Saccharomyces cerevisiae S288C: one gene and its partners. Changing the gene in region 4 together with the main gene of any one other region gives a genetic interaction. Each region holds a gene or a part of one and is shown on either strand. Other genes may lie near its edges.

Region 1 (2,715 bases), on a different chromosome or scaffold from region 4:
AATGAACCGTAGCCACTTCTTGACCACTATCTTCAAGTTTGATAATGATAAATGACAGGTAATCATATTTCAGTCACCTTTTTCCCTTCAATGAAATGTGATATCGCTGCAAAAATGGTGAATGAAGAGGACAAATTAAGTCTAACTGGGTCGAGCCGCTTTAACTAATTCATATCCATTCTAAGATAATTGAACTGCTGAAAACTAAAGCCTGCTTTGATACTTGTCATATTGTATTTATCTACAAACTTACATTAACAACAGTGTACTGAATTATAAGAGAGCAATTGCCAAAAAAGTCATTTAGTTAAAACTTCTCCATTTCAAGTTTCCAAGGATAGGTGAAGTGCTATCCCAGAGACTCCAAAAACATGCGAATATATTATTAAGTTTCAGTTGATTAATATTTCTAAACCATATAAAAAAGCACGTATTTGGCACGATCTGTAGTTAATTGCAACCTAGTTACGCGATAGCACGCGTTTTCTTTTTTATGAATAAAAGCATTAGAAGTTTCCATGTTACTACTCACCTGCTCTCACCGACTCATTTTGTTAAGCTTGTCTTCAATTGCTTGTATACTGCGTGAAAACTCATCATCATTTTCCTTCATTTGCCTCTGAACATCCTTTAGTGATTTTTCTATTTCATTTGCCAGGTCAAACACGGTTACAATATTTTCTGTATCTCCCTTTATTGAGTTAGTCTCAGATGTATTGGCCAAGGGAGCCTGTGGTTCCTCCGAAGCTTCCAGTTTTTCAGTACTCATTACAGTGCTCCTTCAGAAGATGCAAGTCACATTTACAATATCATTTAGCGCTAAGGTAAAATGTACCTGTAAGCCAAGCCGCTTCATTGGTTTGCTAGTTTTTTTTTTTTTTTTTTTTTTTTCAAATTATTTATCGAGGCCAACTGAAAAGCAAAACAACATGGTTGATCGATACATAGAAATTAACGACCAGGAAGCGAAATACTGCAGCAAATTTCTAAAGCTTCTTCCTATATAAAACACGGTAAAGAACGGTAAAACATGATAAAACATGATAAAAAACTATTTGGGACGAAGATGGCTCAATAATCCTGCAATTCAAGCATATGTGAAACAAAATGCTGCTGTCGCCCATTCTACGGTGTTTCAAGGAAATCTTTATGAATATACGGTGATGAGGGAGTTATCTGAGAAACTACGAATGACAAAGTTGAGAAAAACCGGTGGCGCCCATGATGGTGGCGTAGACATAAAGGGAAGCTGGCCAGTAGATGATATTTATTGGAAAATTTCATCGTTAATGCCCAATTTGGAAATGGCTAGTAACATAAAAAGAACGAACTCGCAAAATGGCTTCGTATTGAAACCTTTAAAGTATAGGATAATCGACCATACTTTTGAACCATTGAAAGTACTAGTCCAATGTAAGGCTTTCACTAAATCAAAATTATCTCCTAGAGAATTCCGTGAGTTAGTAGGAACATTCACCTCACTAGTATCACATAGTCAACGCAACAAAACAGTATGCATTATGTGTTCCCCTCATATGTTAACAAAAGATACCTTAAATCTTATCAATAACATCACGCTTCCTCTGATATATTTACGTGTTGAGATGCTGAAAGAGAAGACTGACGGGCACTTTGACTTAATCAATTCAGGAAAACTAATTAATTATTACGAGAATTCATACGCCTCTACGTTAATGCAAGATTGCAAGATTTCTGAATGGCTGAAGTTGAAGTTGTACAAAAATAGTGACTTTAATTCGGAAAAATAAAAAAAAAAAAAAAAACATAAGGAAATTTTAATTAAATAGTCTATCTACACATTTCCTAAAAGAAAATATTATTGCATTACTTTTTTGAAGATCTATAAAGGGCACTGTCTTACTTTTTAAAATCTGACCCACTTGAAGCCAACACAGTATGCTCTCGAAATTATGTAGCAAACAGCGCTTACAAAAGTTGCCAAACCGCAAAAAATAATATAGTGTTGGTAATCGGCCGTTGTCTTGATAGAGATAATGGCACCTGTTATCGGAATGCCGACTAAAGTACCGAAACCGACAACGAAGTACATTGTAGAGTAACGTTTACCGAACTCTTCCGTTTTAGATATCTGGCCACAGCAAACAGGAAGTAAGGAGAAAACGCTTCCAGAACAAAATCCATATAGGGCACTAATAACGTACATATTTGTCAAATTGGTACCAAATGGTAACCAACCAACAAACATGACGATAAATAGAGTGAGTAGAGTTGCAATTGCGACGTTAAACCTACCGAACTTATCGCTCAAATAGCCAGGAACCCATCTCCCGGGTATGCCGCAGACATTTATAATCATAATCAAGGTGTAGGCGTCATTAGCAGAAATTCCATGGCTGGTGGCGTATGATCCATAATAAGTAAGAGCTGAATTAATGGATAACTCACTAAATACCGTTCCCAGGACACAAAAAAGATATTTCATATCCAGGAAAGCCTTCGCATCAAAACATTGCAGAATATAAACTCTGAGTATGTATCTCCAACGTGACTCACCATCTTTGGAATTTTCGATAACATGTGGTAACCTCTCTTTGACTAAAATGATTGACAGAGTTAGCAAAGCCAAATCTAAAAATCCTAAAGTTCTAATGCCCCAAACAAATCCATAAGTTGGATCAGTGTCTGACTTCATAGAGAAGAAACTACGCAACATAATTGGGAAAACGACGCCAC
Region 2 (3,203 bases), on a different chromosome or scaffold from region 4:
GTGCTGCTGTTCAAGCTGCTATTTTGACTGGTGACGAATCTTCCAAGACTCAAGATCTATTGTTGTTGGATGTCGCTCCATTATCCTTGGGTATTGAAACTGCTGGTGGTGTCATGACCAAGTTGATTCCAAGAAACTCTACCATTCCAACAAAGAAGTCCGAGATCTTTTCCACTTATGCTGATAACCAACCAGGTGTCTTGATTCAAGTCTTTGAAGGTGAAAGAGCCAAGACTAAGGACAACAACTTGTTGGGTAAGTTCGAATTGAGTGGTATTCCACCAGCTCCAAGAGGTGTCCCACAAATTGAAGTCACTTTCGATGTCGACTCTAACGGTATTTTGAATGTTTCCGCCGTCGAAAAGGGTACTGGTAAGTCTAACAAGATCACTATTACCAACGACAAGGGTAGATTGTCCAAGGAAGATATCGAAAAGATGGTTGCTGAAGCCGAAAAATTCAAGGAAGAAGATGAAAAGGAATCTCAAAGAATTGCTTCCAAGAACCAATTGGAATCCATTGCTTACTCTTTGAAGAACACCATTTCTGAAGCTGGTGACAAATTGGAACAAGCTGACAAGGACACCGTCACCAAGAAGGCTGAAGAGACTATTTCTTGGTTAGACAGCAACACCACTGCCAGCAAGGAAGAATTCGATGACAAGTTGAAGGAGTTGCAAGACATTGCCAACCCAATCATGTCTAAGTTGTACCAAGCTGGTGGTGCTCCAGGTGGCGCTGCAGGTGGTGCTCCAGGCGGTTTCCCAGGTGGTGCTCCTCCAGCTCCAGAGGCTGAAGGTCCAACCGTTGAAGAAGTTGATTAAGCCAATTGGTGCGGCAATTGATAATAACGAAAATGTCTTTTAATGATCTGGGTATAATGAGGAATTTTCCGAACGTTTTTACTTTATATATATATATACATGTAACATATATTCTATACGCTATAGAGAAAGGAAATTTTTCAATTAAAAAAAAAATAGAGAAAGAGTTTCACTTCTTGATTATCGCTAACACTAATGGTTGAAGTACTGCTACTTTAATTTTATAGATAGGCAAAAAAAAATTATTCGGGGCGAGCTGGGAATTGAACCCAGGGCCTCTCGCATGCTTTGTCTTCCTGTTTAATCAGGAAGTCGCCCAAAGCGAGAATCATACCACTAGACCACACGCCCGTACTAATTGATGTCTTCCTTTTCGGATAGATGTATATATATACAAATTGGTCAGATTGCTTTTGGCTCCCTTTCGTACGTAACTCATTTAGACTACGGATCACTAGCACTATCTCACCAAGTTTTTAAAAGATCCACTGTGATCATTAAAGATTCTATTTCAAATAAAAATCAATTATCATCTATCGACTAGTTTTCATGGTACTAGTATATTATCATGTACAGTGTGAGGGCTCGACATGAAGATTGAGAAGACAGTCATCGTTTTCAATGGAAGCTGAAATACAAGCACTGAATAAAAAGAGATAACAATATTTTAATGTCGTGATATTGGTTCCCTTCTGCTGGTCTTCGAGGAAAATTTCTGGTATGTTTTGTGTATCTAATATTATATAGCCTTAAATCACTACCTATTTTTCAGATCCGCCAAGGAAGCCACTCTGTGAACTTTAAATAATATTACAAATTGCTACAGCATCTCGAATTCAAGTGTTTTCAGACTTATTTATTTAATTCAAGAAAATGTTCATAAACTTTCATAAAGCAATCCTCAATCCTCTTAGCGCTAATGTTCACTGCACCTTACATGATGGCGTTTGGTTATATTTCAATCCTTTTCAGCGACGTGTCCCGAAACACGAAAAAGTACATTCTGCCAAAACTTGAACTAGTTAAAATGAAAAACTAACAAAATCTCCAGTGATTTCGATTCATTAACCTTAGGGATCGACACCGCCAATTCTGCATCAGGTGACCCAAACTAGAATAAGATAAACAGTGGAGTACACTCATTGTAAAGGAAAACCATGATCAAATCTACAATTGCTCTACCCTCTTTCTTCATTGTTTTAATTTTGGCGTTGGTCAATTCAGTGGCTGCATCTTCCAGTTATGCACCAGTTGCTATCAGTTTACCAGCATTCAGCAAAGAATGCCTGTACTACGATATGGTTACTGAGGATGATTCCCTGGCTGTGGGTTACCAAGTTCTAACCGGTGGTAATTTTGAGATTGATTTTGATATTACTGCTCCTGATGGATCTGTGATTACTAGTGAGAAACAAAAGAAGTACTCAGACTTTTTATTAAAATCGTTTGGAGTGGGGAAGTATACCTTTTGTTTTTCCAATAACTATGGTACAGCGTTGAAAAAGGTAGAAATTACACTAGAAAAGGAAAAAACTTTGACTGACGAGCATGAAGCTGATGTCAATAACGATGACATTATTGCCAATAACGCCGTGGAGGAAATAGATAGAAACTTGAACAAAATCACGAAGACTTTGAACTATTTGAGAGCCAGAGAATGGAGAAACATGTCTACCGTCAATTCCACCGAATCAAGGTTGACTTGGTTATCTATATTGATTATCATTATCATTGCCGTTATAAGTATTGCCCAAGTTCTACTTATTCAATTCCTCTTCACTGGTCGTCAAAAAAATTACGTTTAAGAACTTTTCAATCTACGAAAAATATATGTCCGCAATATAGAACACAATTAGGTTTATATTCGACGTGATTTTTTTTTCTTCCTTAGCCCTATGTATATTTACTGTATAGGATAAATGAAATACCAAAAATAAAAAAGTATAAAACGAAAGAATATAACCCTCGTTTATATCTGGTCATTTGTCTTGCTCATTTGTTAGCATTTAAACTTGCTAATACGAAACTCAATGTAAAGAATACTTTAAAACCCATGTATTCTGTACCCAATAACCCATCAATAAGCAGTTTCTTCAAGTCTACATCTTTCAAAACAATTACAGATTTGATATTTTTCAAATTAATGCGAATCCATCCCTTGTACCGTAACCATTCACAAAGAAGCATGCTTGTAATACCGACATACATAAACAAAATTGATATCTTAGCCACCGTAACTCCTAAAACAACACCGAATAATGATCCCAAAAACATCTGCTTGTGACTACTTATTTTGTTCCTCCTTTCCTCGGTAATTGCCGTACTGTTGCCCACAGTTGGTTCCAAGGGACCCTGTTGTTTGACAGCTGCCCCTAAAGA
Region 3 (5,091 bases), 530 kb from region 4:
AGCAAACAATTCTCAAGAATCGAATAATGCTACTTCCTCAACGTCTCAAGGTACAAGGTCCCGTACTGGTTGCTGGATTTGTAGATTAAGGAAAAAGAAGTGTACCGAGGAAAGACCGCACTGTTTCAACTGTGAAAGGTTGAAATTGGACTGTCACTATGACGCGTTCAAACCAGATTTTGTATCTGATCCAAAGAAAAAACAGATGAAACTGGAGGAAATCAAGAAAAAAACAAAAGAGGCCAAAAGAAGAGCAATGAAAAAAAAATAAAAGCTCACTGAAAAAAAAAAAGAGATATTGTTACTATTATTATTATTATTACTGTCATTAATACTATACTAATAAAGAAAAGGAAAATACGCATAATAATATTTAATTAACAATAATATAACATATATATATATATATATATATGTATGTACTACCATGTAATTTCAAAGACTTTCAAAAGAAGTTATACGTCAATTCTCGTGTACAAATCAGTCAAACTGTAATTCATTCGTACTGATAAGCCAAATTTCTACCTAGTATTCATATGAAGATTTGAAAAACTATGATAAAAAACGAACAATATTAAAACATATTATTCCGACTGTTTCCCCTCATGCTGTCCGTGTTGCTTTGGGCGTCAAAAGGAAATTGCATGTACTTCCCCACATCTTGCTGCATAGGTTGTTGAAACATTTGCCGTTGCGCTTGCGCATATGCTGACGACGGCGCAGATGTCTGGTACTGGTCACCTAGCCACGTTGGATTTGCAAAATTCATTGACTTTAATGAGTAAGCTTCGCTCTGCCATTGTAAATTTTGTGCATTATAAGGCGGAAAGACCCCTTGCCCCTGCTGGTTCAAAAAAGGATAGGGATAGGATACCATGGAGGCAGATGGAGGCATCGAGGCATTCTGATACGCGGAGTTTAATGAAGACATCGATGAAGGTTGCTGTGATGAATACAGACCACCTTGCATTGGCCTCTGGGCTTGATGGCAGACGTCATTCGCTGGAATTTGTTCATTCACCCCTTGCATGGATTTGGCAAATGATTTTTCCGCGTGCTTTTGTTGCATTGAAGATAGGATGTTGTTCAAATCGAAGGATGATTCATCTGTCGAATTTGAAGAAGAGATCGCTGCGTTACTGTAACCAGGAGATATATTCGTAATAGCGCCATCGGCGTTTTGACCGCTTAGTTCGATTTTTAACAGTTCTACATTTACTTTGTTCCCCGTTATTGTACCGCTGGGCTTAACATTGAACGTATCTGGGGCCATAGGTACAGACGAACCACTATAACCCATAGTTGGAGAAAAAGAATCCAAAGAGCTACTTCTCATTTGTCTCTCCAAATCCGCCATGGATATTGAGCCATTAGTGGTCGAAGGTTTGTTTTTTCTTTGTAACTTGGCCTTTTCATTGGATTGCTTCGATGTCTTCATACTATTTTTAACGGTCTCCTTAAATCCAATTTTCTTATTAAAGATATAACGTGATTTATTATCTGACCATTCTACTCCGCAGTTGTTGTTCTGCAATAATTGCGAACTTATATTCACAACAGCCTGCAACCTTAACAGCATTTCAGATGATGCCGATAACTTGTCGCATAATGGCGGATTACCAATTAATCTATCGAGACTATGATCCATTTCAAGAATTTTTTCATAATCGTCAAAATCAGATAGTTGAAAGTTAACGAATGATAAACCCTTCACCATTAAGTCTTCTTCGAACCAGTATGTCCTTTTAGGAATATGTTCTGTTATACTAAAAGAAGGACTTGGTTTTTTTTTCACAATATCATTTATCAAGTATGCCAAGGCATTAACAAACTCTAGATTACTTTGTGAATATTGAAGAACCATGGGATTTGCTTTTATCCAACAATTGATAATTCTTACCATACCTAGAATTTCTGAAACCTCAGGATTTTCGCTCCATGATTCCTTAACGATATCATTTAAAATGTGAGCAATATACTTGAATGCAAAATTTAGGTAATCCAATTCATTGCTACGTAAATCCTTCAAGGTTTTTGCACTTACATCGGAACGCCTTTTTAATAATAGATGGAACCCACCAATTGTAATGATCAAATTGTGAAAGATGGTCTTAATATTATTCAGGTATCTTGCTGACATCGTCTCGTAGAGTGCATTTTCCAAATGCCTTAACTTGATACCGTTATTTAATTGGTTAGGTTTTGTATCATCTCTCCAACTGGTAGGTGACCAAACAGACCCAAAAAGGCCCAGGAAATAAAATTCTAGTATCTCTTTAGCAGGTGTCCTGGGTCCTTTAGATTCTTGTAAGTAAGTGTTCATGATAGTAGTATGCAAGCTACGATTTAATGAACTTTTATTGTCCACCATTAATGCCCCAAAATTTTTGATTGAAACAGGGCTTGGCATCTTCGTCATCATACCTTTAACAAAATTGAATACTGCAATCCCCAAATTTCCTGTTTGAAGGAATATCGCTCCTGCTTGCGAATACGTCTCACCAGCACTTGGTAACACCAACGAAGCTAAACGAAAGAAGTCCAGAGATTTTTTAAAATTGGATATGCTGTATTTATTGGAAATTTCTTCGAGGAGAGTTTTATAACGATACGCTGTTCCTAAGAATAAGAGACAGCGATGGAAAAGCGTTGGGATGAGATGTGCGAGTGGGCTACTACTATTAAATGTCTTCACCGCAAGAATGTCTCCAACATTAGTGGTATTTTCGATGTCACTTAACTTTAAGTCTTGGATAATCCTTTTCGGCAAAAGTACAGATATATCATATTTCTTATAAACCGTGTTGATAACGTTGACATAGAAGTTTTGCACCGTTTTGAAGAATTTTAACATCTTCGAATTCATCTTTCTAAAGTCGATAAATTTGGTCTGCTGTTTTTTATTCTCCTTCTCAAAAAGAATATAATTCCTCCACATCTGAAACCATTTGAATATTGGATAGTGAACGCTTTCCCAAGAAAAATCTAAAATCGAAGAGATACTGCTCTGATCAAAAGAATCAAGATCAGCCGCAAAGGATTTCCCACATTGTGATTCTATAGATGTAAGGATTGCGGCATTCAATTTGGAATGAACAAATGCCAAGAACCCATTTAATAGCGCATAATCTTGAAATAATTGATTCGATTTTAATATGCTGTTTAATTGACTTTTTATACCATTAAAAGCGGTAGGAAGATCTTCTTTTTGGGTATTCGATGGTTCCATTTAATTGAAATATCAACTGTAAGCCAGTGCAATGAAACTGAGATATTTTCTTTGAATATATACGCCTGATGACGTACGTTTTAAATTGCAAATGATGCGGATTTTTGAGTTCCTAAAAGCCTTCTTTTTGATATATTAAGTGACTTTGTTAAATTCTTGTTTATAATCTTAGTTCGATGATGTATTTAATTGAATGATCTCTTTACATATATGATTCCTGAAGACACTTTTCATAGGAAAAAAACATTCAAAATATATGGAAAGAAGAAACACCAAATGTAGAGGATTCCCCCTTAATTTCCGAATTATGATACCGATTGGATGCTAATTGCTTTATCAACCTCTTCGGTAATTTGAGGTCAATGCTGGATGACATCTTTTCCTTCGTTAGAAGTATTTTTTTTCTTCCATTGTGATATTTCCCGTAAGACGTGATCAACACAAGCAGCCGCCAATAATTACGATAGGTACCGTTATGTATATGAAATCTTGTTTAAAAAATTAATATAAAAGGTATGCAGGACAAAGAATTGTCAATTTGCTATAGGCTGTAGCGGTAAAGAATTCGGGTTAGCTGAAATTGTGTTCATAGAAGTAGCCCGGCACCAACAAGTGGAATTTTGAGGCTCAACTTGTACCCACGCTTTAATCGACACATTTTCGAATATTTTTTCAACTCTTTTCTTGATAATTGTCGAATTCTCGCCGTCTACATACTGTACATGAATATAGCCCACCAAGCTCGGGTGTTCTTGTGAACCGTTTTTCTGATCATGATGATGCTCATGGCTATGATTCTCTGCATGAGAATGCGTGTGTGCATGTGAATGCCCGGAACTGCCTGACTCTGTCGGCCAAAATCTAGGAGTTGTATAACCTGTGATTCCTGGCGTCGTTGAAATCTGGTTTAGCGCACTCTTTACTAGATTATGCTTCTTGTCATCCAGTCTTAGTAAAATATTTGCGGAAGTAGATTTTAGCAGGGGCAGAGCGCTAAGTAAAATCAAGGAACCAATTAATAAAGAGGCGATCGGATCAAAAATTGGCCAGTGTGTTAACTTGATTAATAACGTCGAAATAACAACGCCAACAGAACCTAATGTATCTGCCAATATATGTAAAAAAATCCCCTTCATGTTTTCATTATCAGTACCACCATGATCATGTGCACCATGGTCGAAGGCAAACAAACCTACAAGGTTCACTAATAAGCCTAACGTAGCAACAACCAACAACTCATTTGTTGCATGAAGATGAATGGGGTTGAAAATTCTCTCAATTGCCTCCACAAAGATACCGCACACTATGCCGAGTAACAGAACACCATTGGTGAAACCTGCCAAGGTACCAAGATAATTTAGACCGAAAGGGAATTTATCACTTGCTGGTTTCTTGGTCAATACACCAGCAATTAGACCTAAGAGCAAAGATGTGCAATCTAAGGCCATATGCAACGAATCAGATAATAAGCCCAATGATTTGGAACGAAAGGAATATAAAAGTTGTACAAACATGAAAGCGGTATTCAACAATAAAAACGAAAAAATGGACCTGGTGTCCTTATTCAATGCCATTTGTTTGAACATACTTTCATTTTCGAGAGGCAATGAATCGGTTAGATGGGAATGGTGATGTGCATGATTATGGGAGTGCGAATCAGGTTGTTTGTTAGAGAAACTGGAAACATATTCTGCCACTACGACGAAAAGTAAACTTAACAAATCAGTTTTGATGGAAGAAGTAATTTCATTAAACGATAAAAAATGTACTACAATAGCCATTATGCCTGTCAATAAAATGGTGAACCTTGTCAGCCATAAATAGGAAATCATGTACTTTATGTCAAACATACGACAATATTC
Region 4 (3,003 bases):
ATTTAGAAATGAATGGGATGATTCGTATCATTAAAAATTCATTACCCGCAGATGAAATACTAACTTCCAATGAAGATGAAATTGAAATTGATTTGGATATTTTAGATGAAGCGACTATTGCAAGAATTTATGAGAGATATTTTGAGAAAAAAAATAACAACAATAGCAAAAGAAAACTAAGTGGCAACTACTCGACTGCGCCAACTAACAAGAAAAAGAAAACCTTGAAATTTTTGGAAAAGGATGAAATCATAAATAATAATAATTATTCCGATTCTGAAGAAGACAGTAGTGATAGTAGCGACAGTGACAGTGATTAACAATCGAAATGGGCTTCATGCCCTAATTAAGGAAAAAAAGAAAAGAAAAAAAAAATTGGGAAGAATGGGGATAAAAAAGATTTGTAACATTATAAACAAAAATAAGAAATAATTGTTTTTACGTACTTATTGTAAATAAAACAAAGGGATAACGGACAAAAAGGCATCGTTTCTTTTGTACTATGATTTACGCAAATGGTAATTAATTAGAGGTATGCATATAGTTTTTATAATTGATTCAATGAATTTTTTGTTATCGTTTTTAATTTCGAGTAATTTCAGGTAACCAATAAAGGATAAGATCACTTTCCAATCGTTCAAGTTCTGAAAATCATTAGAGCTGGAAGTTAATCCCATTTCCTTCGGCAAATTGGCAGGTATTCGCAAATGAGCTAATTGGTTAATTTTCAACGAATTCTTGATAAGCCAGCTTATCGAGTCCATGTTCACTACTCGAGCTCGATCTAAGTTATGAATGTAATTGAAGTTTTTGTTCATTATATTAAACTGATTGAAATTCGTAAATGTTATTGTAAGCATCTTATTAATTTCCAAGTGAATGAGCTGTTCACCCAATTTTTGTAAAGTTTCGTTTCTTGTTTCAAATGTATTTCCTGTGCTCAAGTCTCCAGTCATTGGTACTCGTACCAACATATTCCTGCTTGTGGTATATAGCAGTTTAGTTAGTTCTTTAGTCGGTATGCGTTCCTTTCCTTTATATCCGTCAGGATTAACTTCAAGGACTTCACACAGTTTTTCTATCTTACTAATATTCTTTTTCGTCACCGTGTTTATAGTTCTGATGGGAATATACCTGCGAATCCCAGATATTCGAGCAACAGTAGTTGCAAACACTTTTGTCCTCAACATGTCGAGATTCATTATCTGATTTATTCTTTTATCCTGCTATAAAGAAACCATAGAAGAATAGAAGCAAAGGGGTAGTACGTGGCACCTCCTAAAGGTAATATTGTACTATTCCTAGTTCACTCAAGGTCTGCCTGTCTTATTCTCCACATACATTTTCTATAACTCTTTTTTTAAGTTTGTTTTTATTTTAGTTTGACACTACATAAATATGTAAAACTATTTTTTCAAATTATACAAATAGAAAATTATGATAAAGGTCAAAAAGAAAGAAAAGAATGACTTGTCTGTTTTCCTTCCCTACAAACTCTTGCAAAAGTAATCAATCGAGGCCAGCACAGAAAAAAAATAAAAGATAAATAAATAGGAATAAGAATATAATGCGAAAAACAATAGTGGTCAGGTTCGGTCAGTTCTCTTGCTTTTTCCTCTCAGCTAGCTCTGCGTAGAACTTCTCTCTCTTGTTAATCTTATCCATGTGGAATCCCCACCACCAGTAAGAGGCCATGACACCCCCGAGGGAGAACCCGAGGACGATGTCCATGATGACTCTTCTCTTGATCGTACCAGTAATTGGAGCAATAGTCATGTCTGTGTAAGTCGCTTGTAGTTAGTAGTTTGCAAATATCTTGCTTGCTCTAATTCTCGGTCCTAATTTTCCCTGAAGATAAGAGTCTCTTTCATCGATTCTTTTAATACCACAGGAACAAAGCGGGCATCGTGGTAGCGGGCCAATCAGGTTGCAGTAAATGAAGAGATATAGAGGAGGACTCTGCTAAAGACCATAACAAGGGTCTGCAATGATCTTGGACTAAATAAAGGTGTCTTACAATCCAAAAGAGCTTGAATCATTCCTTTTATGAGCTAAATAGCACCGTTTGCACCTTCTGATAACGCTTTACGGGTCACGCGCGGATTTTGACTCACATAATTCCACTTGCCCATATAAAGAGGGACTCATATGATCTTATGAAATCTTCCTTCAAGCAATTGTGAGACAACAGACGCACAAGGAAGATCGCCCAGCATGAGTATGTTATCTAGAAGATTATTTTCCACCTCTCGCCTTGCTGCTTTCAGTAAGATTAAGGTCAAACAACCCGTTGTCGAGTTGGACGGTGATGAAATGACCCGTATCATTTGGGATAAGATCAAGAAGAAATTGATTCTACCCTACTTGGACGTAGATTTGAAGTACTACGACTTATCTGTCGAATCTCGTGACGCCACCTCCGACAAGATTACTCAGGATGCTGCTGAGGCGATCAAGAAGTATGGTGTTGGTATCAAATGTGCCACCATCACTCCTGATGAAGCTCGTGTGAAGGAATTCAACCTGCACAAGATGTGGAAATCTCCTAATGGTACCATCAGAAACATTCTCGGCGGTACAGTGTTCAGAGAGCCCATTGTGATTCCTAGAATTCCTAGACTGGTCCCACGTTGGGAAAAACCAATCATTATTGGAAGACACGCCCACGGTGATCAATATAAAGCTACGGACACACTGATCCCAGGCCCAGGATCTTTGGAACTGGTCTACAAGCCATCCGACCCTACGACTGCTCAACCACAAACTTTGAAAGTGTATGACTACAAGGGCAGTGGTGTGGCCATGGCCATGTACAATACTGACGAATCCATCGAAGGGTTTGCTCATTCGTCTTTCAAGCTGGCCATTGACAAAAAGCTAAATCTTTTCTTGTCAACCAAGAACACTATTTTGAAGAAATATGACGGTCGGTTCAAAGACATTTTCCAAGAAGTTTATGAAGCTCAATATAAATCCAAATTCGAACAACTAGGGATCCACTAT

What was found.
Region 1: mutations in CBS1 (region 4) and BIL1 together harm fitness more than expected from each alone (negative genetic interaction), as found in Saccharomyces cerevisiae (one large-scale study listed by BioGRID).
Region 2: mutations in CBS1 (region 4) and ERP2 together harm fitness more than expected from each alone (negative genetic interaction), as found in Saccharomyces cerevisiae (one large-scale study listed by BioGRID).
Region 3: mutations in CBS1 (region 4) and EBS1 together harm fitness more than expected from each alone (negative genetic interaction), as found in Saccharomyces cerevisiae (one large-scale study listed by BioGRID).

What each region holds. Positions count from the first base shown.
Region 1 is NC_001147.6:887,982-890,696, forward strand, and holds BIL1 (Bil1p), read right to left. Parts: upstream 770-2,715; coding exon 539-769; downstream 1-538. Other genes in the region: RRG7 (Rrg7p), read left to right, coding at 1,041-1,769; MCH5 (riboflavin transporter), read right to left, coding at 1,886-2,715.
Region 2 is NC_001133.9:137,124-140,326, reverse strand, and holds ERP2 (Erp2p), read left to right. Parts: upstream 1-1,981; coding exon 1,982-2,629; downstream 2,630-3,203. Other genes in the region: Hsp70 family ATPase SSA1, read left to right, coding at 1-824; FUN14 (Fun14p), read right to left, coding at 2,817-3,203. UniProt on the Saccharomyces cerevisiae protein: Involved in vesicular protein trafficking.
Region 3 is NC_001136.10:860,192-865,282, reverse strand, and holds EBS1 (Ebs1p), read right to left. Parts: upstream 3,230-5,091; coding exon 575-3,229; downstream 1-574. Other genes in the region: DNA-binding transcriptional regulator UME6, read left to right, coding at 1-271; metal cation transporter MSC2, read right to left, coding at 3,763-5,091. UniProt on the Saccharomyces cerevisiae protein: Plays a role in nonsense-mediated mRNA decay (NMD). Recruits UPF1 to cytoplasmic mRNA decay bodies (P-bodies). Negative regulator of gene expression. Inhibits translation most likely through effects on eIF-4E (CDC33). Involved in telomere maintenance.
Region 4 is NC_001136.10:332,621-335,623, forward strand, and holds CBS1 (Cbs1p), read right to left. Parts: upstream 1,191-3,003; coding exon 501-1,190; downstream 1-500. Other genes in the region: BDF2 (Bdf2p), read left to right, coding at 1-320; COX9 (cytochrome c oxidase subunit VIIa), read right to left, coding at 1,597-1,776; isocitrate dehydrogenase (NADP(+)) IDP1, read left to right, coding at 2,215-3,003. UniProt on the Saccharomyces cerevisiae protein: mRNA-specific translational activator of cytochrome b.